Linked DNA regions of Arabidopsis thaliana. The protein of the gene in region 2 purifies or fractionates together with the protein of the main gene of each other region. This does not show direct contact. Each region holds a gene or a part of one and is shown on either strand. Other genes may lie near its edges.

Evidence for each region.
Region 1: the proteins of AT2G17930 (region 2) and ATRPAC42 fractionate together in Arabidopsis thaliana (co-fractionation; one large-scale study listed by BioGRID). This does not show direct contact.
Region 3: the proteins of AT2G17930 (region 2) and AT3G49830 fractionate together in Arabidopsis thaliana (co-fractionation; one large-scale study listed by BioGRID). This does not show direct contact.

What each region holds. Positions count from the first base shown.
Region 1 is NC_003070.9:22,397,187-22,405,503, forward strand, and holds ATRPAC42 (DNA-directed RNA polymerase family protein), read right to left. Parts: upstream 3,228-8,317; 5' UTR 3,099-3,227; exon of another isoform or gene 2,982-3,098; 5' UTR 2,970-2,981; coding exon 2,835-2,969; intron 2,534-2,834; coding exon 2,345-2,533; intron 2,263-2,344; coding exon 2,133-2,262; intron 2,046-2,132; coding exon 1,965-2,045; intron 1,874-1,964; coding exon 1,686-1,873; intron 1,588-1,685; coding exon 1,492-1,587; coding exon of another isoform or gene 1,402-1,491; exon of another isoform or gene 1,379-1,401; coding exon 1,285-1,378; intron 1,200-1,284; coding exon 1,083-1,199; intron 990-1,082; coding exon 892-989; 3' UTR 727-891; downstream 1-726. Other genes in the region: AGD2 (ARF-GAP domain 2), read right to left, coding at 4,058-4,172, 4,250-4,695, 4,834-4,924, 5,119-5,243, 5,466-5,726, 5,811-5,897, 5,981-6,190, 6,451-6,576 and 5 more.
Region 2 is NC_003071.7:7,797,818-7,806,134, forward strand, and holds the start of AT2G17930 (Phosphatidylinositol 3- and 4-kinase family protein with FAT domain-containing protein), read right to left. Parts: upstream 4,788-8,317; 5' UTR 4,414-4,787; coding exon 4,356-4,413; intron 4,159-4,355; coding exon 3,443-4,158; intron 3,280-3,442; coding exon 3,154-3,279; intron 3,056-3,153; coding exon 2,970-3,055; intron 2,798-2,969; coding exon 2,689-2,797; intron 2,431-2,688; coding exon 2,335-2,430; intron 2,216-2,334; coding exon 2,153-2,215; intron 2,071-2,152; coding exon 2,011-2,070; intron 1,575-2,010; coding exon 1,506-1,574; intron 1,137-1,505; coding exon 1,055-1,136; intron 965-1,054; coding exon 912-964; intron 826-911; coding exon 754-825; intron 676-753; coding exon 1-675. Other genes in the region: AT2G17940 (WEB family protein (DUF827)), read left to right, coding at 5,061-5,198, 5,510-5,998.
Region 3 is NC_003074.8:18,477,517-18,485,833, reverse strand, and holds AT3G49830 (P-loop containing nucleoside triphosphate hydrolases superfamily protein), read right to left. Parts: upstream 3,586-8,317; 5' UTR 3,452-3,585; coding exon 2,700-3,451; intron 2,564-2,699; coding exon 1,894-2,563; 3' UTR 1,854-1,893; downstream 1-1,853. Other genes in the region: AT3G49840 (transmembrane protein (DUF2215)), read right to left, coding at 24-116, 188-250, 330-475, 546-712, 794-1,007, 1,172-1,283; AT3G49820 (uncharacterized protein), read right to left, coding at 4,112-4,597.

The DNA.
Region 1 (8,317 bases), on a different chromosome or scaffold from region 2:
TTAGACGAGTATTTTGACATTTGGTAATTGAATCCGAAGAACTTAAAATTGTTTGGTCAAAACTTCTAAACTCTTTCAAAAACTCAGCACCCCTATTTGTGGTTATGTTGTAAAGATCCACTAATAACCAATAAAACATGTGAGTCTTGTGATATATTGTAAAACATGTTCGTTATAAAATTCACAACCACATTGTCGAACTTTGTTTATATTCCCTTATCATAATCAGTCTTACTATTAGCATAATCAACTGTTTATGTACTGATGTCTTCTAATTAGAAAACTTAAAAAGGTAAAGAAAAAATAGAAAAAGAAAGAGCTCAGTTAAGAGGCCATATCACCAGATAAACTGGAGAAATGCAAAGGACCCAACCTTTACAGAAACCGATTTCATCACAGCTCTATTGCACCAGCCGGGAATCGAACCCGGGTCTGTACCGTGGCAGAGTACTATTCTACCACTAGACCACTGGTGCTACTTGTTTAAATGTTACTTCTTCAGTTATTTATACATAAACTCTCATAGTTCATATTTAATGAGAACATTTTGTATAATCTAATGTGGCAGGGATCTATTCTACCACTGACGCTATTTTAAGTGTTCAATGAAACCAAAAACTACTATTACCAACACACACCTTGATTGGCACAATGTAAGGAATGGCGTCAGTGTTCTAGTGGTAGAATAGTAAAACCAAATTAAACCGAAGCAGATTTCCAAAATTGGTTCAGCTAGGAATTTTGTTATGAATCAGAACTCAGAAGGCTAATGAAAATCCAAATTGAACAACAACCGTATAAATAAATATGTCAATGTTGTTTGTTGGTAATTTATCAATAGGAGGAGAAACATTGATAGACAGACAATTCAAAATTGAACTAAACCAGAACTCAAAAGTCGGTTATAGCTTCACATTTAGCTTCCAATATCTTCACAGCTTCAGTGAAGAGAACCTCTGGAGGCAGTGATCCGGTGGACTCAATGTTAACTGAGAAAAAAGACGACAAGAAACTCAATTACGATATCTTTCAGATCATGAGTAGCAGAGTAAAAGGAATGGGTTTTATTTTTCTCTTCTTACATATAAAATGGTTCTTAACACTGCCAAGATCCACATGGTCTACCAAATCATCGTCTCTTACGCATTCCTTACACAATGTGCACTTACGTGGCTGCGCTACTGTTGCCCTTTTCTTACCTGTTTTCCACAAGTCAGTATGAAATCAAATTTAAGTAAGTCATGCAGCCAAGTTCATCAGCTTGCATAAGATTTTATACTTCACCTTTTCCCATGTCTTCAATGTCGAAAACATTCTGTGGGCAGACGTTTACAAGTCGTTCAGCAAGTTCATCCTCAACTTCCCCACGTAGAACCACCTAAGATAGTATAAACAAAAGCATTACGAAACATATATATTGGGATGAGGAAAGACAAAACAAAGAGCTGTTTCCCATAAAGCATATGATAGATTGATGTATATACTTCTCACCTCAGGATGCATTCTATACCAAGCAGTCCCTACTGGAGACCACTTTGCATGTGTTTTACCAATGCCCTTAACCGCATGAGCTTCGAGCTCGATTTCCTGGGAAAAAAGAGATAAAAGAAGATGCACATGTTTCATCTCTCATTGCAAGTATGGTCTGCTTGGGTGTATATAAAAAGAATGTACAGAAACACTACCTGACCAGGGGCGAGTTTTGCTATCAAGATATCGAGGTCGCATGGAGTGATAGGATTATTAGCAAATTCAGGTAATGAATCTTGGCTGCAACTGAATGAAGTGTAAGTTTTTGGCTTTGAGGTTTTATTTTCCGATTCTCTCAGAAGCTCACTTCCATTTGGTAACCATTTTAAATCACTCGTTAAAACTACAAGAAAACGAAATGATATCTTTCATGAGAGATGGAGCTGATAATAAAACAAGAAATCTTCTGATGCTAACTAATGAACATATATTACCTTTAAGACGTGGTCTATTTTTCGGACATTTCACATGGAGTTTGAATACAATGGTGTTCTTTTCATTCGCCTGATCATGTTCTATCATACACAGATAAAGAAGTAAGCTAATCAGAAGAATTATCATCATATGTAGATGGATCACATACCACTGAAATATATGCTTACCGGATAAATATTCAAAAAGTCTTGGATCTGCGGCAATTGGAATAAGACCCATCCTGTGAGCAAGAACTTCGTCTATAATAACCGATGTGTTGTACGCTATCAACACTTTTTCAATAGCCATTGAAGGAACCTGCAATAAAGAAAGAAGCACTTTAAGCCAAAGATTACAACAATGAGGGATTCATCAGAGGTTGTATGAAAACTTGACAGACCTCAGCTATAAGGATCCTTCGGAATGCATTGGCAAACGCTGCATCAATACCAATCATATCAAATTCCATATCTGTCTTTGTGAGACTAACCACATCAACTTTGAAGTTATCATAGAAGTTTCCTAGCTTCACATTGTCGTCCTCTTCCGTAGAAGAAACATAGGTACCCGAGTAAATGGCACTCGCAGTCTACAGAAAACACAAACACAAGATTAAAGACTTCAAATTTCAAACAATCACTACTCAATATCATCTTGAATTTGAAAACAAAAGGTGTATTCTGGTAAAACACTTAAGAGCCAAACTCGTAAATTCACAGCTTTTCACAGGAAAAAACAAAACTTTTACTCTGTATCATGAACACAGCAACGATAGAACTCAAACCCACATGGGATCATTGAGAAAAGCTATAAAATTTGTAATTAGATAAGCTTATAACCAACAAAACAGAGCATAAAAGATTGTAACTTTGAACGAGAATAGTTCTTACATGAGCAGGAGCGTTGTTTTTAGAGACGACACGAGTTTGCTGGGCTTTGAGATGTGGAGGAAGTCCGGCAGGGACGTCAGGGAGATCGTCTATGTTGAAATTTTTGGCGAATTGTTTTTCTGCTTTAGTCACCATCCTTGTCTAGGTCTATAGCAGAACTAGGGTTTATCAAATTGAGAAAGAGAATTGAAGGGTTTAACAAAGGAAACCACAGGGGGTGAGGAAAGTAGTATTGGGTCAAAGAGTGAAGTCGAAGAAGCTTACCTGTGGCCGAGAGAATTGAGCAATTTAGAGAGAAAGAGAGAGTAGGAGGCGGCGGCGAGGAGATGAAGAACAAACGGTGAAGGGTTTTGAAAAAGCCGCCGGTTTTATTTAATCCCTTAACTCTTTCCGGTTCGAATTAAAACGCATTATTACCAAAAGAAACAATAAAAAATTCATTTCAAAAGAATACTTCTTCTTTTTTTACATTTCAAAAGAATACTGTTTAACACTAAAAATAAAGCCATTACTTTAAAAAATAAAAATTTATTCCACAAGATGAATACTTTCTTTTGCTCATGATTTTGTTTTATAGCAAAAAACAATAATAAGAATTTATTCTTTTTCGGTGAATTGTTTAATTTAAAAAAAAAAAAAAAACTTTTCTGCAATCAATTCGCAGCATATTGGTTAAGCTAAGAATATAAACTAAAAACATATGTAAACAACAATTCTAGGAATGACTCCTTTTGTTTTTGGCATCTACTGTGAATGATAGGCTTTTTTGAACTCTAATTAATATTGGTCAAAAAAAAAATGTCGATGGGACTCTTCTACGTTAGTATCTAAGAATGTGGCAATAGCACTACTTAATTTAGAGCAAAATAATAGAAGAAAACACGACACTTACTTCATCAAATTTTTGTTGGGCAATGAGAATGTTGTCTATAATAAAGTTTCCGGCTACAAAACACATATTTGTATCTCGGATATCAAATACAGAAGAAGAAAAAAAAACTTTGAGGTGCAGGCTTAGAATCTTTGAGATCATCTTATGTATAACATTACAAAGGCTAATACAGTAGGTCGGAATCTTGACATTTCCTAGAGTTCTATCTCCTTCGGGAATTAGGTAAATATTGGAGCATCAATGCGATGAGCAAGTCATGACCAAATACTACAACAGTTACAAGTTACATTCCTTTGCGTAGCAATCAATCAGCAAATGGTATATTGGTAATTTACTGACACTCTGCTAATAGAAGGAAGAGCTCTTCATCGGTTATGGCTCCCATCTCCATTGCCCTTTCCAACACACTTAATCCTCCACCATCCTCTATTGATGGACGAGCACCTCTGTCAAATTCAAAGAAGAGAGACACTAAGTATCTACTCAAAGTGCCCCTCATGAGATTTATTAGTTAGTGTGTTACCTTCTCAGCAAAACCTTTGCAAATGCGTTGTTCCCTGATGCGATGCAATGGTGTAATGGAGTTCGTCCGTGGTAATCTCTCATGTTTATGTCAGCCCCGAACTGCAACAGCAGTTCAAGCAAGATTGGGTCACCGCTTTGACACGCCACATGCAACAATGAGCAGCCTTGAAGACAGTTTCTTGCTTCGTTCGAATTCTTGATTCTCTGACACGCATTTGGATCGTGCCTTTTCTTTACTTCATCTGGTGCATCAACATGGTGGTGGTGATATACATCAAGGTCAGTAATATCATCGAACTTGGTATTGATGATATTTGCATCTGCTTTTACAATGAGTCGGTAGATGTCTCTTATGTTCCTGCTTTGAACCGCTTCCCATATTCTACTTGAGGCAGTAGAATTTGCTTCTCTTTCATCTTTGACAACTAGTGCTTTCTCCAGGTACTAGCTAGGCATAAACATTATCAGCTTTAGTATCATAAGCCTTTTCTATTCACAAGAATATGCTCATTTGGATGATGCGTCAAGTGACATGAATCTGAGGTCTATGTATGCGAAAACTTTAAGAACTAAATCTCATACCTTTCCGTTAATATATTTCTCCTTCAGAGTAAACCAATCTTCTGAAGATGGTTTCGAAACTGATGCAAGTGTGTCTGTCGATCCCTTTTCACTGTAAATATTCAACAGAAGATAGGATCATAGGAAAGTAAAGATCACCAATCTCATGATTTTACACAATTGGGAAAATAGAAACTTGTAAAAGAGGAACAGATGATTTTGATTCAAGGAATGTTATTTCTTGATTGTGTTATAGAGACAGTCTTTACTTATATAAACAATCTAATTTTCCTTGAGAAATTATACCTGTCATCGTCAAGGTGATGAAGTAGCTCCTCCCAGACTGAATTACAGTATCCGTTGCCTAAGTTCCGAAATAAGTCCAAGATTGTAGGCTCCCATACTTTCACATCCAATGTGAGCGATCTCACCTGCAGACATTCTTTGACATTAGCTAAATATCTAAGCTTCATACACAGATGTTTAATTCAGCAAGAAATATAAACACTTCATCTTAAAAAATTGAGCTCTGCAAATTTTGGTTGATGCAAAGATATATAGCACATGGTTAGCTTTACAACAAATGAGCTTATACAACCTCGAACTAAATGGAAAGAAGCTACGCAATATCGTACCAAAATGAAGAAATTTACCTTGGATATATGAACGCCGAGATTCCTGTGAACACCAGAGCATTCAATGCACATCAAAACTCCAAGATTCAATGATGCCCAATCGGGGTCAGGTGCATTGCATTCTGCACAAGTGTTATTTCCAGGAATTTCTCTGAGTATTGTAAGGACGTCATCCCCCACATTTAGTCTTTGATTATAATCTTCTTTTTGATTCAGGGTGAGGTTTTCAGTGGCAGGACCAGAACTAGTATTCTTTTTATCCAAGTATCTTGCTGGTGACTGCAGAAGATATTAGATTCTATAACAACACAAAATTTTCAATTTGAAGGTAAAAGAAAAGTATGAGACTCATATTGAGTAAACCTGCTGCAGAAAATGAGAATTCAGACGTATTGTTATAGCTGCTGTGATCTTATTTACCCAATCCATCCTATCAGCTCCATTTTCAGCCTGTAGCATATAGAAATAAATTGTGTTGGCCTCTTGATGCTATATTTGCTCCTTCACGTTTCTATATCTAATAAATTTAGTACCTGTAGTGTGTAAGTCTTTTGAGGAGATATAATTCTAAAACAGAGTCGAAGATCTGTGTCCTCTGCGTCCAATTTTATCAGTGAAGTACGGAGATCGATCATATTGCAATCTAGGCTTCCCTGTGAAGCTGATCGATTGTGTCTTGTACGAAATCTCCCAAAGACGCCGCTACTATGCTCTCCTAAACCACTGTAGTAATGCTGAGATTTCTATAAATAGAAAAAGATGATTAGAAGGATAGAAACTGAGAAAGTGAAACTTAAAATAAAAGAATACACAGGTGAGAGAGATTTGTTTAACAGTCAACAAATATAAATATAGCCAAGACATGAGGGAGTGCTAGTATATCTACATAACTATAAAAATGTACGAAATTGGACATTGGAAATTGAACTATAACCAAGTCTCAAAGAGCTTATGGATCTCTTTCATGGAAACGAGGAAGTGAAAAGGAGCTTGGCAAACATACCGCTGATTTATTACCGGTGTTTCTGTAATAGTATAGGGATCCATGGTTGTCAAGCACAAAGAATCTCCTTTTCCAATCAGCTCTCAAACTAGCTGATCGCTTTAATAGATACCCTTGTTTAGTTACCTGCATTAGTACACAAGACAAAATAAGTAAGACATTAGCCTGGACAAGAACTGAAGCAGTGAAGTGTATAGCTAATCACCAAATGAGTCATCATAAATCTCAATGTCTACATGGTTGTAAAGCAGTATTATATCTAATAACAGAAGGCCCAAGTCTTGAAGCCAGAAATATTCTTTGCGAGCGCAACTCAAATATTGACACTATTACTTTAACTTTATAAGCATCTGAATGAGAGCTGGATTAATTGTGTCAGTTAGAAAACAACAGTAGGGTAAGCAAGATCCTGTCAATATAAATAGCCATATTCAGAAACAGCGACCATTATATCTTTGGACAAACTATGCCACTTCTAACCATTTTCCGGTGGCAAGACAAAACTTAATCCATTTCTTTACCAGAGAACCATTGGAACAATTTGTGAAAACTATGGTTTGGAGAACCTTACTTCCTTGTCTGCTGTTGAAACTGAGTTTGCTTCTACGTTTTTACGGGGGATAGCTCTATAAACATGGTTTCCACCAACATCGGAGGGATCTGCTTTAGCAGAGGCCTGTTGGCTGTCTAATTCAGATTGAGTCCTGAATTCTTGAATGCGTTGTGCAAATCGATCTTGTTCAATCTTAGACTGTTCTTTTGACTGTTGTGCGTATGTCAATACCTGTAAGAGGAAAAGTAGCAGTATTAATGAATTTTATTAGAGAAAGCTTTAAGTATCTTTAACTGTTAACTCTCTAAGTCTGCACATCACTATTTCTCTCTTCGCTTAAGACTATAAATTTATTAAAGTCACATGTTAGCGTAGTACAAGTTATAGTACAAGTTATTAAAGTCACTATTTTTCCTTTTTAGCTTTTTTTACGGAACAAAAAGGGAGAGATACATGATTTAAAAGAGATAACTGGCACCTATTTCATATGCATTTGTAAACGAATTAGCATTACAAGCTCCCAAACTTTTTCTGCTTATTTGCATAGTCAGAAAGGATTTGACATTAAGGTGGTACCTGATGGATGTAAGGCTCCAATTGACTTAATAGATCATAACCCTGGAGAACAAAGAGACCACATTAAGGAGTACAACGAGGTACTGATGTTTCCCTTAGTTGGTCACACTTGGTTACATCTCTAAATGCAAAATAAGAGAAGAAACATACAAGCTTAAAATATTTGAAATGGGAATCCATAATTGCACTTATAGATTCCAAGAACTCGTACTTCTTTTTTGCTTCAATGGTCATCAGTGAATTTACCTGCATTCCTTAAACCAAAGAGAAAACCATTTAAATGCAGAAAGGTCAAAAGACAATCGTAGTAGTGCTTCTATTCGTAGACTTAGCATACTAGATTGAAACGACTTTTCTCAAATGCTGACTTCGAGTTCTCCAAATCCTATAGATTGACAAGTTCGTTAGAATCCCAAAGATATAATATACGGTTATATAGTGCACATGTACAGTTTATGCATGCCTGAATATGGATAAGGAGATTTTTCTTGAATATTTACATATATGAAATATATTGCCAATACCTCTTCCAACTCAGCAACAATGTCTCCTCTGGTATTCTTCTTTAGCGACACAAACTTTTCGCGTGCCTTCAATTGAATAAGAAAATTCATTGCATAGCTTCAGATCAAGAATTCCAGGCACAACATCATATCTTAGATAGATTAATCATCAACTACGATGCTTGTCAGTCGCCCATGTTGGAAAATGAATACAACAATTTTTTCTGCAAACTTG
Region 2 (8,317 bases):
GAGACGGGGAAGATATGGCAATAAGGAGCTTAAGCGTGCAGGAAGCGTCAAACAAAGCTCTAGCAAAAGATCTTTCATGTCCTCCCCAGCTGGACCCTCTAGCATTGTCAAAAGAATATTAAGACAAGGTAGCAGCATGGGGATCAAATCTCTCAGAAGCAGCTCATATTTACATCCAGCAAGACCTCTGAACACAGTGCGGAGCAATTGCATATAACCAAGAGGTTTTTCAACTTCCGTAGCATTCTTCATGCAGACTTCCATAATAACAGGCACGTGGTGCTGTAATATTCTTTCAAAATCAGATGGTGTTTTGGTGACAGCCCCAAAGATGCATCTAAACAGATGCAAAACTAGTTTAGTTGCAGCTGAATCTGGATTCTTCAGAACATCAAGTTTGCTGCTAACTAGTAAATTAATCAAAACATCTGCAAATGGCTTGTAAACTTTGGGAGCTTGCAGGAGTGCGGCAAATATCTGAACCAGTTGGTTATTGTTAATCATGCTCTCAAAAAGCTCTGGCATGCATAACGAGAACATGTCCATTAGATCTCGAGGTTCCATAATAGCAAGAATTTGGGAGAAAAGATTCAGCATTTCCTTTTCCTCATCCTTTTCTTTGAAGAGAGCTAAGCAGTGGACACCACTCTTTAAAACACCAGAAGCTTTCCACACCTACTTCAAGGCAGAGATTACTAAGGTTTATAGCCATGCACTATTAATGACTAAAGTAAATAATCTTACAAGCAGTACCTCATCTTCTCTCATTCCTTTAAAACCCTGCGGAGCAGATGATTGTGAAACAAGAGCTTGAGGGTTCATCCCCTGGCCAGCAGGAGAAACCGTCACAATTAATATACTTGCATGACAAAACAATAGAACACTGATACAAGAGACAATTTAACACAAACCTGAGGTCGAGGCAAATGTGCATGGGTAATACTCCATATTATTGTTTTCATTCCTGAACACAATCAAGAAAGTGAATAAATATTGATCGTCAAGTATAGAATCATGGTCAATGTAAAAAGATAATTCTGCTAAGATTCAGTACCCATGACCAGTGTCTTGATCAGATTCTTACAATCATTCACTTCTTTGGAATGTTCAACAGGAACCTGCAAATTCAAAACTGCCTGCAACCAGTGTGGTCTAGCAATAAATAAAACTTCTAGATAATCCATTTGTCGAACAAAAGAAAATTTATGAAGTTATCAATAAGACTGCATAATGCTTCATCAGGAGACAAAAAGCCTAGTATAAAATCTAAGAATCCAGCTTGGAATTACAATACCACCTATATTCCAACTTAAAGCAAAAGTGGAATGTCCATGTAACGGTGTAAGATAATATGAGAGCTTTTAATAAGCAATTGAGTTTGAATATAAACATGTGCAAGACGATCACACATTGGCTGATAATTCGTATTACTGATAATTCGTATTACTCACTAAAACAGAGAAAGAAAGAAAAAAAAGTAATCACTGATGAGCGACACAAATTACCTGGACAGGAAGTTCAAGCTTCGACCTCAAAGTGACCCGATCCTTTCCCACCTCACCCTCCTCCAAAAGCTACGAATCGCAAAGCAAGAATAGGTAAAACATCAAAAATATAATGGAGTTGAGAAATGAATTAGCTGAAGGCTCAAGATGCCTTTTTATTAACCTCTTAGCACATAATTTAAAGGTAACATAAAAATAAAGAAATGACATATCAAGCAAGAATACTTTTTGCAGCTATTCTCAAAGACCATCTGAAAACTGAAAGTTATAGCAAGAAAGCAAATGCATCTTGCAAACTGCCCCTGAAGATCAAGTGATCACCTCAATAATAAATACACATCTTTCCCAATCTCAAACACTAGAAGGAAAGAGACCAAATTAATAGCAGCATAACTTGGTTTTGAAACTTAACAAACAGTAAATCATCAGTAATAGAAGAAAACAAAGCCAAAAAAAATTGAACTCTTGATCACAACATCCGATTTTGAACAGCAACCAGCATTACCTGAGGAATAGTACGCTTGAAAGTACTGAATTTCCCCACAAAGGCATCCAGGATACGTCCCTATTTACAGGTGCAACATGAGGTAAGTTAATGGACAGAGAAGCCAATCAATTCTAAAATGAACTCTCCAGTGAATTTCTACCAGTAAAATCCGTGCTTCATCCATTGACTGCTGATCAACACCTTTCTCAAATATTGGTTCTACCTGTATCAAACACAAGTTTTGATTGAAGCTTAATTCAGAAAAAATAAATAAACTATATCCCTGTTTAAAGCAGTTTATCGAATTAAACAAGACAAGCACGGTAGAGAATATAGAATTACCAGATTCAGCATCAGTCGGGCACATGTTGTATGAATGCTAAGAGAGAGGGTAGAGTCGTGCATGTTTCTTGAAAATAGGTAGATAATCCGTGATAACTGTGACGTTGTTTATAGTTAATCAGAGGAATGTAAAGGAAATGCACTCATTAAGCTCGACAAAAAATAAGGGGAAAAAAAAATGACGTCAAAAAGGAAAGCCTAATGATGCAAAGAAAATTGATCAATATGTTACATTCCTAAAATTTTCCACACACAGTGCAATTGCGTATTGTAATGAAGTATTTTCACTTATAATGAATCCAGGCTATCACAATCAACGTTTAATACTGTTTAAAGTTCTGCATCAGTAAAAACCTGTGCGAGAGAAAGATCTCCGCGAACATGGTGAACAATCTCCGCGAGTAGGCTGTAAGCCAAAGGCCTCAAAGACTCAAAACATGCTCGCCCAGTTCCAACTAGAACCCTAACACAGAAGACAAAGAAGAATACCTGAAAAAAGTCAATACTTGTTTATAGATACTTCAACTAGATAAACTATATGCGGACAAAAGCTGTGCTTGATTTAACCAAACATCTCCTTTAGAAATATGAAAATTTTCGAAATTTTCGAATTTCAGATGCCTTAAGCCTCATACCTCTCATCTAAAAGAGTGTCAATCAGAGGAAATAAGCCTCTCTTGAAATCCGTCCCAAGCACATGCTTTAATGAGACTAAGAGTTCCTGCATTTTATGTAATGAAAAGTAAATCTTTAGCTGCACTCCCTTAACTGTGTCACCAGAGAAAACATACTGACGAAAAGGACCATAAGGTTTTCCACCTTTCTGATAGAAGCAGAATCTGAACACGTCACAAGCAAATTTACAATGCTTTTGCATATGCTTTCTTCATGCGGACGGATATATTCGGCGCAACTTTTTAGCAAATAAGTCAAAAAAGAAACCGTCTGCAAATGATCCGAAAACAAAAGTCAATATATCATGTCATCTCCCAGTTACAAACAATATAATTCAGATCAAACAATGAGTCGGTGTAGGCCTTGATATAATAATATTTCCAACAATGTAGAAAGCTTTGGTTCCCTTCCTTACGAAGAAACATTGTCTCACCTTAACCTGTGCACCTTTTAACTCTATGAACTGAGGCTTCAAATGTGAAGGGACATTCTCAGGTCCAGGGACAGATATAGCAGCAACCATCAGTGGAAGTAAATGAGGAATGTTGGTCTGAACGAGTCGGCTATACAGCTGGAAAAGGAACATAACAACAAGGGGGCTCTCTGTGATTATCTTGAATGACCGAGTACTCGGATTAAGCTGCACATTCCCGATAGGTGGGGTAGGGGTAAGGGACTGATCAGAAGACGTAGGCATCTCCATAGGCTTCACTTCTTCCATTTTAACATTATCGAAAAAATGGCTGACAGTGAATCTGAAAATCGAATAGATTTTGCAGACAAAGTCTAAAAACGGTTGAACCTCGTTTTCTAGCGTGGGCCTAAAATTCCTAAGAAGGTCAAAGATTATCCGAATGCAAATCAAACCGTTTTCTTCATTATCTGCGGTGAGCACCTGCATTGCAACCTTCAAGAGGTCCTGAACAAAGGGACGAAGAACCTCACTGTGTGGAAGACGATTGAGGATCTCAACCACAATGTTCCGCAGTTTGTGCTCCGGATTATCGATAAATTGCGGTTTAGTAATCTGTAGAAGAATAACTGAGAATGCTGGGAAGTAGCATTTTAAGAAATTCAAGTACTCTGCCGTATGTGCTATCTCTAGACTGTCCCTGACCTCCACCACCATCTCAAGCCTTGTTGGAATAGCTACACAAAACAATTTCAAAACAGATAAATTAACAAAAAAAACAAAAGAATTTTTGATTTCACAGTTAAAACTAAAACAAGAACTGAGTCGAAGTCAGACTATAATTCATACGAGAATCATGAAAATTCTCTCAAAATTCAAAATCAAAGGAAGCTGATTTGAGTTATATAGAGAGTGAAATCAATAGAGAAATTACGTAGGTCAAGATCCACGAGACGACGGGAGTGTTGCTCGAAATTCTGAATTGGACTCATGGTGAACAAAGAGCTGAGCGAAATAATTTACACGGCGGAGCTCTTTCGCCGATCACCGACGCGACGATCTCTAAACGCACCGTACAAGTGCCAGACTAGGTCAAAACAAGTGGAATTTTAGCGAAGGTTTTTTACAAAAGCTACTAAACTAGAGACAATTCTGGAGAGTTTCCCAGAATCGTTTGAACAAAGACTAACGAATTAGAGGAGGAAGACTATGGAAGATGATGCTTCTCTAAGCAATTTTCCCTCTCATTTTTGTTTCTCTGTGACGACTCTCTTTGAATAGTGAGTTCTGTGAACTCCGAGAGGATTCACGGGCGAGATCGCCGACTTGTACCGCCCAGTTTTATTGTTTCCTTAATGGGCCAAAATTTTCGGCCCAATATAATTTCAAGAGGCCTGTGTGCATTTTATTTTATTTTAGGAGAGGTGTTGTTATCAAGATGGTCACATTTAGCTAACGAATATTAATTAGACAGGAGCAAAAGCCATCATTATAATTTTTATTAACCAAATTCAAGTGTAGTGAACGCCAAGAATCTAACACCCTCCAAATTACTGTATAAGACACAAAAAGTAACACTAATTCTTGTGTGATGTAATATTGATGGAAGGTATACGCATAATTAATTAAGCAGATAGTAATGGAGAGAGGAAACGTTTGGAGAAGTGGTCGAGCGGAGATAGAGACAAAAGCAGCGTTTGGGTCGGTGAAAGAAGCGGTGGCCATGTTCGGAGAGAAAGTTTTAGCCGGAGAGATCTATGCAACTAGGCTTAGAGAGGTAACAATGTTCTATATTATCACAACGAAAATAAACAATGTTCAATACTTCAATATCATCACAAAGATTACTATTTTGAAATAATATTTTATATATACATAATATATACTGTATATATAAACTAATTAATATGTCAGATATATTTGTAACCATTTTCTATTGACTAGATATACAACACAACCAAATGAAAAAAAAAAAATATGTACACATACATTTATAGTTTTGAATGGGCATTGTATATATGAATAAATTGATACGTTCCGGCTCGTATAGTTTTTACTTTTTACATCACATGTCTTTGACGGTTTCAGATACGGACAAAGGAAACAAATTCAACTCCGAGTTCTCTATCAAGACTACCATCTCTAACACTCGAGCTTGAGCAGACAAAACAAACACTGACAAGAACACTACAACTAAACACCAGCCTCTCCAACAGAATCAAAACTCTAACACAAGAACTCGAACTTGGTAAGAAGGAGATACAACGGCTCAGCAGGACGAGGTCGAGTCGCCTAGACAATCCGGAGATTGAGGAACTCAAGTTCGTGGAACAGCATCAAACGATGACGTCTAATGATTTTGAAGAAGAGGTTGTGACGACGGAGGAGTTGGAAAAGAGGAGACTAGTGACATTCGCGAGCTCGCCTTTGCTGACACGTGTGATGTCAAGTGTCGGGGACGAAGAGGAGAGAAACAAGAAAGAGAAGGATTTTGAGAGAGATTGTTCGGTCAAGAAGACAAAATTAAAGAAGGGTTTTGCTCCGTTCATGGGATGGTTTAGAGCAACCCGTGGATGAGATTGATCTATATATCTCCAATAATGCGGTCATATTGATTATTATGATTTTAGATCGTTATATAATATAGTTAATGTGCATGATGCTATATATCAATCTCGTTCTAAGAGTTTGATGAATAATACTTACGTTAAAAATGAGTCTTGCATCTTGCAATGATCTAAGCTTGGTTCTTTACAATAATCTCTATAGATAAAAGTTTTACTTGTTATCACATTGAACATACTTTTGCGATTTTTATGTAGGTGTCGTCTCTAATCTTCAATTCTTGGGTTGTTGTACAGTCTTTATGATGTTAGGTTTATGTTTGCATCTAAAATTGAAACTCGGAGAAAGTAGAACGTGAGATATATATGATTTCAGAGCAAAATAAATAGATTTGTTACAAAATTAAAGTGTTGTGAATCCGACCATATACTAATTAAGCAACATGTTTCTCAACAAAAAAAAAAGTATTTTATGATATAAAGTAGCCGCACAGCGATTTCATATCGCTCTCTACCACAATAATTCAGTTTTAATTATAGAAAAAATAAAAAGTCTATTCATACAATTTTGGATTATCATCTAGTTCACCGTAATATTCACAAAACGGATATAAATTTGTATATAGGAACATTAAAAAAAATCAGCCAACAAAAAATGGCAAATGGACCAAACTGATCCAAACAAGTCTTTTAGGAAAATTTTCACATAAAGGGAATCATAGACCATGATGCTACACAAGCCTCACATCTTTGCTTCTTATAGGAATAACGTACTTTGAATCCTCAAAAAGCATCTAAAGATCTTCTCGGATCCGCAGAAAAAAACTCATATGTATATCCACTTGTAATATATATACATCACAAGTAAGTAACTCGTTAAGACACATCACTACATATGTCAGTGATCTAGACCATATGATAGGAACATATATACGTTCAAATACTTTATTCAAACAATTGGTAACTTGATTCATTCTCTCTCTCTCTCTCTCTCTGGGTTCAAAATGAAGGTGGGCAATTTGGTCAAGATATAGATGTGTAATTTGGTTATGTTTGAAGAATTTAAAAGCCTATTCGATTTTGAGATCTCCTTGATGTAGACTCCTTATTCTTCTTAAGGGTTTGGTTTCATGGTCTATATAAAGAGGGACTGATCACGTAAGCTTATCATAGAAAGAAAGAAATCAATTAGAGACGTCAAAGAAAATGAATTAGTAACATTGAGTTGGTATCTTGACCAGTTGAATCCTGACTATCCGAGATCAGTATTTGCAAAGAAAAAAGTAGAATCAAAATTGCGGAAAGAGGTTTACTAATTGTGATTTTCTGTCAAAAAAATACGGTAAAGCTAAAGCTCAGTATTGGTTTACCAAATCAAGAATTATTCTGTTCAAATGATCAGAGTTAAGGTACCTTAATACATGAAAAAAAAACAATATTGTTTTCACTCAATTACCCATTATAAAAATCATGTTAAATAATAGAAAATTTATTGTTATGCTTAATTATATTCCGTCGGTTAAAACAATATATGAATAAATAAAAATCATAGTCTAAATTTTTGAATTTAAACATTTAATCTTTTTTTTATAGATTTTAGTTAAATTATTTACGTTTTGGATATGTATTGTTTGAAACAGTTTTGTTTAATATAGTTTTATGTTTGGTGTTATATATATATATATATATATATATATATATATATATATATAATATACATTTTCAAAATGTTAGAAAAAAACTATTTTCCGTTTTCAAAACGTTTTGCTTCAACATTTTCGTTTCCATGCAAAATAGGTATACAGCTTATGTTCCTAAGAAAATTGATGTTTAGGAATTTTCACACAAATTTTACAAACAATTAATATTTAGTTATAAATACATTATTTTCACAAAATTATTATAAACCAATAACCATTCATAAATTCAATTTTCAATGATAATTTTTAAAATTTACAAATTATTAACATTAAATAGTTAAATATATAGAAAAATTAATATTTGTGGAACAAGAAAAATCCCCAAAATATCAGCTTTTTAGGGACGGATATAATATTATTTAGTCTCAAAAACATAACAGATTTGGTCCATAAGCAAATTAGTTTGTTCCATCCGCTAAACCACAAAAACCTAAATAAATCATGTTTATTTTAATTTTGTTGAAATATAAGAATATAAAAACGTAAATATTATAGAACAAGAAAAATTCTAGAATATTTATTTTATATGTGATCAAGAATAGTATTATTTAGGCTTTGGAAAAATATTGTGGATAAAGCGAAATAAACCGTTAGCGGACTAAACACCTTATTTTTGAGAAGACAATAAATAA
Region 3 (8,317 bases), on a different chromosome or scaffold from region 2:
AACAAGTACCAAAACTTACATACAGGGATGTACAAATCTTCACTGATTTCTATCTGCATTAGCAAATCTTGAACTAAACCGCGTATGTATTGAAGAAAGTAACCTCCCACACCAATCTGAGAATATAAAAGAAGGCTTTGGTTAGTACATGTTCGACAAAAGAACTCAAAGAGAAGACAACTCTCACCATAGACGAGTAGAAAAATAACTGAAAACGACTCTTCCCTCTAGTTGGTAGACGCTTTATCCCCTGCACAACCGTTTATCACGTTAACCAGAGAAAAAACCATGAAACATATAACAAAAGATAGCGTTATGAAAACTTTTACCTGATTAATGATAAGAGTTACAAGAATGACAATCCCAATAGACATTGCACCGATATAGTAAAACGCAACTGATTTGCTAAGTCTAGAAGCCAAACTCAGTAACACTATCCCCATGATTAAAAACACAATCCGGTATATGAAAAACTCTGCAAATACAAACTCTACTTTGTTTAGTTTTAGAATTTTGCAAAACACAAAACAACACAAGCACTCTACCTTGTTTAGCAACCAACTCCACGGTGCTGACATTAGATGAGCCACCAAATGTTCTTATATCAAGAATCTTATAGTCAAAAGGTGACATTATCCCAACCCAAGGTAACCCTTTGGACACTCTCTTCCACTGATTATCAGGACACATTCCAATTGCACGCGACGAATTCCTATAATCAGAAAGAAGTAAACTTTAAGATTTCACAGATACTAGATTGATTCATAGAGATTACACAGATACTAGATTTTACCTGTGGAAGCAAACGTCGATACTGTTGGAAGCATTATTACTCAAAAGAGTCAACTTTAGTGAATGTGCATATCTATCAATGTGCTCAAGTCTTCTTTGTAATCCATGGATATGTAATCTCTCACATATCGATGTTATACCTCGTTTCAGACCAGGTGAATATATCACCTCTGTTCTTGGAGTCACTTGTAGTGAACCAGTTTCACCCACAGCTGCTAATAAACAACAAAATTGGATCTTTTTTTATATAATTCATCGCAATTGTCTTAATTATGTAAAAAAAGGTTTGAAATTTGGTGATTCTAAACTACAAAATTCGAGTCCCATAAAGAATTGAAGAAAGCCCTAAAAGTATAATTCAATTCCGACACAAACTTACCAAAGACAAGTTCATTGGAGGAGACAAGGGAGAAGAAAGTGACGAGGTTGAGGAAGAGAATCACGACAATGAAATTTGAGCTTCGGACAATGACTGATGATGAGTCACTCATCGATTTTTCTGGGTTTTGTTTTTTGGATGAAGAAATCGTACGAAAGTAAAAGCAGTCACATAAATAAAAGAGACAAAATTAAGCCATGTCATCATCATATCTGCATACACCAAAAAAAAACATATTTAAGCTTTGTGACACATTCATTCATCATCAAACAGTAGCAGCAATAACCTTGGCAACAAAACATGTTGAAGGAACTGTAAGCACATGACCAAACCACTCAACTTCTCCCCAAATTTCACAACTTTCTTGTTTTTCAAGAGCAATCTCCGCGCACCAAATCTTATTCTTATAGCCGTTGTTACTACAAGGAGATTGTTCGACCCACAAAACCGCCATCTTTCCACCATAATCAGCCAATTGAATACAAACATTAGGTGAGAACTTAGGTAGCCTTACCAATTAACCCTTCAAACGTCTCCACAATCTTACCTTTTTGTCATACCATCTTATCGCTCCGTCAAAAACACAGTACAAAACGTTGTCTATCTCTCAATGAGAACTCGAAAACTTGAAAAATTCCATCTTTTGTTCAACCATGTCCCATGAGTCCATGACAAAATGGGGTGAAAAAATAAGTTCTTGAAAAAGCAATAAAACAAAATTCTCAAACTTCCATGGCCTCGTGTTCTGTTTCTTCTCCTGCAGTAGCCTCCTGTGTGTTTTTTATAGGCACGCTAAACAAGTACTCGCTCTCATGCTCAACCAAGTACTGCATCGATCTCTTGGTGTCTAAAAACAATCTATAAACTCTCTCAATGTCCTGAATCTCTACGACTTTCCCTTTACGTTTCAGGCAAGCTAGGGCAGCTGCATTGATTAGATGAATCGCGTACCTAAGCGAGGTATTACATCCGATCAAAGTCAGAAGCTGTTTCGCTTCCTCGTTCATCTCCACATCCTCTTCTTGGCAACGGATCTCTAAAATATTTCTGATCTCGTCTTGTGTGTAAGGCTGTGTTGTGATAATAAGAAGACGGTCAAGAAAATCGATTGGGATCCCATGTGCTGATATCTGGTTTGTTCCTCGGATTGTTGTCATTCCTCTGTTTGTAGCCACGACCAGGATTGGTGACATATCGTTTTCGAGAGCTCTATTCAGGAAAGAGAAGCATTCGATATCAAGCATATGGACTTCATCAATGAAGAGAACACCAGGTACTATTTCAGCTTTCCCTTCTTCTCTCCACTCTGCCACTTTAGTATCGCTTTGCTCTCGGGTTTCTGAACGAATCTCGCCTGTATCACCTGTGAAGAGGGCTAGATACCCTTGAGTCCTGCAAACAACAGAAAGAAAACAAGAATCCAAATAAGAACTTGAAAAAGCATCAATACGTGAAAAAGAAGCAATCTTTTTAACCTAAACCTAAAACTAAGCAATTGACAAATACAGAACAAGATCAAGAAACAAACCTGCTATTAATAACATCAATCTCATGAAGTGTGACAGAATGCAAAACCTCCTTCCTCTTCTCAAGCTCACCTTCAGGGCACTGCACAAACTTAGTCTTTGAACCCATAACATCAAAATCTCTAGACCTCGTAAAAGATCTTCCAAGCTTAGTAATCTTCCCACAAAACCTATCCAAAACAATAACATCACCACTCTGTACTTTCTCCTTATCCAATGGCTCAATCAATTTCCATCCCAAATCAAAATTAGATTCCATATCAGTCGTCTTCATTGTTATCTTCCCAGTCTTCTTCACAGAACCACCAGAAGAAGCAGGTCTATCAATCGAAATCGTCACAACTTCTCCTTCTATCACGTCAGTCTCTTCTTTGATCCTAACACCAATAGCTTTACGAAAAGCTTGAGTTAAAGCTTCAGTCTTTGACATCTCTAAAGAAAAGATCTCACTTCCTGCAATCATAGTGAATGGTGTTTCTTGTCCAAGTGATTTTGCTATACCCATTGCTATTGCGATTTTACCCGTTCCGGGTTGACCCGCTATAAGTATAGCCCGACCCGAGATTTTGCCGTCTCTGATCAACTCGAGGGTTACTCCGGCGGCTTTACGTGCTTTGATTTGACCAACCATTCCTTCGGATACGGCTCGTGGCTCGAGTACTGAGTCGAGACCTAAACCTCGTATGTGTGAGTGTGCTCCGATTCTTTCGATCCTAGTTAAGTCTCGAGTTTCTGATAACCTTAGTTCTGCCATCGTCGGTTGTTGAGTTCACCCGAGGAATGAGACTTGGCTTTTACTAGGTTTAGACTTTGGAGAATCAATCACCAGAGTCTTTCTTCTTCGTAAAGGTTTAGCTTTATTTATATTAAAAAATTACAAGATTTTGTTTGATATATATTCTTGTTAATTTACTTATGAGGAAGTTTACATTTATATATATATATATATATATATATATATAAATAAAAAGATAGTTTTTTTGTTTTGTTTTGGAATCTGTAAAGATATTGCAGACAAAAATAAAATTGAGAAACTTTTTTTCTTACAGCAAAAATAGTAATTGATAAACTTTCTAAATTATTATTTTTTGTGCTTGTGGTTTTGAATTTGTATTTTATGTTTGTAATTTTGTGAAGTTATTGTGGTTAAAAGAAATTAATTTTTGTTGTAATTTGTTTTTAGAAATTACTCATGATATTAAAATCATGTAGAACTGCATTGGTTGTTAACAAAACAATGTGAATTATTTGCATCACCACTTTTAGAATCGTATGTAATTTTTTTTAACATCAATTATAAGTAATACAAGAAATAATATTAAATGATACAAAATGATTTTTCTTTTCAAGTGTTTGATCCATATTTCTCAATAAGCACAATGCAACAACCTAATAATAAACCTAAAAATCAAAATCAAAATCGTCCTAGAGGCTTATGTTTTTGGTCAACAGATGGTTTTTCTATTTCTTTTGTAAGAATCTCGCAATTACCATAATCAAGAAAAGAGTCTTCTTCTTGAAACTCATCATCATCATCACAAGACATCTCCTCATCTATTCTTCCCATCACAACAACGCATCTATTGTTCTTCCGATGATCCAAGGACAATGATTGTCTCATTGCAATCGTAGGTTGTCCGCCACGTGTCAGACAGCCTTGATCATGTGCCGCCGACGTCAAGGTAAAGCTTCGAGGAAGGGCGGTGCTAGGCGGATCGCAGATTTGGAAGTTTCCGGAGAGTTGACCAAAACCAGATGATCCACCACCGGAATAAATTCCGGCGCCGGAGCATGACGTAATGCTTCGTATGTAGGCGTCACGTGCCATGATCAACAGACGAAAAGGAGCCTTAACCAACCATACGAAGCAGTTCTCTTTCTCTATGACTTTCGCTTTCATTATTGGATTCTCAAGAGTATCGAAATCAAAGTTGTATATATGTAAATATATAACCTTTTAAATATATTATAAGAGACGAAGAAGAAGAAATGCTCAAAGATTTCAAGACACTAAGACAGGATCAAAGAGAAGACAAATCCATGATGACTGTTGTAAATGATAATAACAAAATTATGAATGTGATCTATTCTTAAATGTACCTAGTTGGATGATTAAATACATTTCTTTCAGTTAGATGTTTAAATTTATTAAGGTGTTGTTGCCTTGTTGGCAAATCAGTCTTAACTTATTTCATATAATATGGACACCAATTTAAATCTGGATATTTGAGATGGGTTAGTTAGTAGTTAAAAGGGTATAATGGCTTGGTTCAACTACTTTCTTCAAAGCATGACGCTTGGTATGATAGTTCGGCCCATATATTAAATTTGATCCAATGTATAGACCCAATAGATTAGCACTCTTGTTTGCATCACTACATTACTCTAACCCACTATCGAATACTACAAAACTTTAACTGATTATTGAATCCTATCGTTTGGGATTAATTTGGTTCCAAAGAAATTCATGTGAGGAGATCACAAATAAATTGTTATCGAGATTTGGCCATTACTCTAACTTATCTAGAGCGACAAATATAATTTATAACTGGAGGTACACTATTTAGATCCTAGATTGTAGGTTTCGAAAATCTTGGGCGTTACAAGCAAAAACTCTTGGTATCATTGAATCCATACGTCATATAGTGTATAATTTATTTACAAATATATAGGTGCCTCATGCATGTGTCTGATATGTACATACTACTATAGACATAGATTTAGGGGGTAGAGCGTCACGACTCACGTGACAGTCCAAAGCTAAAATGGCTAGAAAATCAAACATATAGAATACGCGTAGGAATGCGGTATATACCTTTTTTATTCCTTCGTGCTTCTACTTTTGCATTTATTAAAAGATTGTTTCACACTTCTTTAACGTTAAAATAAATGAGCTAAAGCCTAAAATACTAAAGATAAACATATGCGTAGGCAATGCATTATAGTGTATTCATGTTTACCGATGTCATGGGCTCGATTGGTAACACCGAGAATGACGAAAGCGTAGACAAAAATGGTAGAATAAAATGGCATAAAGTCATAACGACAAAGCAAGAAAAAAACAATTTGATTAGAACTATGTTATTGTTGAATTAGTTTGTTATTTTTCATTAATCTTCCATAATCGACCTACGAATTTTCTTGCCTTTTATTAGTCCCTTCTATATCAGTAAATTCATTTTCTTTAAAACATATGTTTGAATCTGCTATACAATTAACAATGTGATCTCATATATGTTTAGACACAAATTGAACCTTTTCCGCAACGATTTTAAGTTGATACAAGAGTATTTCTATTGTATTAGTTGCAGTCATCATCATTATAAATTGACACAACAAAACCTCATTACCTAAAGTGGCATTATTTCACTGTATTCTCATAGAACTATAGAAGTCAAGTTATTTCTCATAGTTGAACGATATTTGACATCCACAAACTCTCTACCATCAAAAGTTATGAGTGTTACATTGCCAATCCGATATACCATCGAATTAGTGATCAATTCCTATAGTTACCTTTCCTCACATTCTCCAAAATCACGAACTGCTCAGTGCATCATGTCTTTAGAGCCCACTCATCCCCATCAAGTCGAAGAATCTACATGATTAAGTGTCATTAGAGTCAGTTTCTTTATATATTTAGCTCATAAATTAAGAGCTAGTAGTCTCGATCTCCATTACATGTTGCAGCGATTGATATTATACGTAAGTATACAATGCAGACATGCGTAAATCATCTTGTCCCAAACAAGACTTGAATCAGAAATCATACCTACCTCTTTTGAAATGTCGACGTCTACCACTAGACCACCACTTAATTGGTTAGTGTCAGTTCATTCTTTCATAATTTGAAACCTTCTAGCTCAACAAACATAAAACAAGAACAAATTCAACACACGTATTAAAAACTGTTGATCCCAACAACGAAAATACGACACACAGTAGTTGAATTTTCGTCACTTCGTTTTCATGAAATGGTTACGCTTTTATTCGTAGGTCCACCTCTAGTCACCACCACTCACACCAGTCATTAGCACTCGGTCCGTATTACTACTTAGATGATATGTTAAATCAATTTTGTTTTTTGATATAGTTATTGTTATTATATTTTTATAATATCACTATCAATCTCCCATCATCCCAAAGGCTAAAAAAACTTGATTACAAAACAAGTCATATCACATTTAAACACTTGCCGGTCCACTTTAGTATATCATCTTAGTTTGACTAGAAAAAAAAAACGTCATAGACACAAAATTTTTGGTTTTATCATTATCAACAACTCTGAAAATCATTTCATTTGAATCTGCAATTTCATTTCAAAAATGGGTCCAGTAATAAGTAATCAATATATTTTTCAATGAAATAATAAATAAAAATATATGTTTGGACAGCAAACTTTGCAGTTATGGGTCAGTACTCAACTGCAACAAAAAGAACACATGGTCTCTCTTACAGATCTCTATCTCTTTCTCTATCCCCACTCCCATCAATTTCCAAGTTTTATTATTAAATTATCTTGATTTGGTAGAGAGTTTGTTTTGTTAAAAATATGAAAAATTTGAAAACCAAATTAATTAACAAATGAAGGTTGGGTGGGGAAGAGGCAGATGTGGACACGTGGTGGGATATGATTGGGTAAAAGGAACAGTCAAAGGGGGCAAAGAGATTAGACCCGGAGACGATCGACGCTTATAGTCAAAGCAAGACACTGTCACGGTCAAATATTATGTCTAGCTGGCACTTTTGTTTGTGGTCCCCATCTCACTCCTCTCTGTTTTTTTTTTCTTTTCTAATAGTGTGTGATATTTATAAAGTATATTTCTCAAAAAAATATTTATTTTTAAAACTTTTTTATTTTGAAACTGCAATTATGTGAAACAATTTAACCAATTTTTAAATGTTGTTTTTATATAAAAATTCTTATTCGTCAGCAGATTAAATCGATTCAAAAAGTTGTTTGGCAATAAGCTTTTTTAATAGCTATTATAATTTTTTTTGAAGTAATATTATAGGGAAATATCCGTTTGGGTTAGAATTTAATATAATAAATCTAAAATATAGGTTTAGATTTAATTGGGTTCGAATATATTCGGGTAAATACTTGAATTTTCGGATAAAATTTTGGGTTTAAGGTAAAATTTATATTTTCGAATAAAAATATTTGAGTATTTTTGGATTGTGGTTGGATTCGATTTTTTTAGTTTAGGAATTTAGAATTCAATATAATAAATCTTTCGATTCGGATTCGGTTTTAGATCCAATTATTTGGGTCGGTTTCGGTTCGGGTAATCGGTTTCGGTTTTTTTTTTCAGTTTTAATTTTTTTTATATACTAAAAAGAGGTGAAGGAAGGTATTGGTATAACAAACAAAAAATCAAGAGTTGTTCCTTTGGAATTAATAACGATGATAAGATTGAAATTAAAAAAGTAATTAAGAAATTAAACATAGAAATTATCGTCACACGTGCCCCGACCTGTACGGGTTACTCTTCCCCGTGGGTGTTTGGAGTTTAGTGCAAACTTCTCAGCTTTTTTGACTACGTTGCCGGATTTTCTTTACTCTTTCATTTTTACCACTTTACCCTCATTTTTGTTTATCCTTCAACATTTTTTTTGT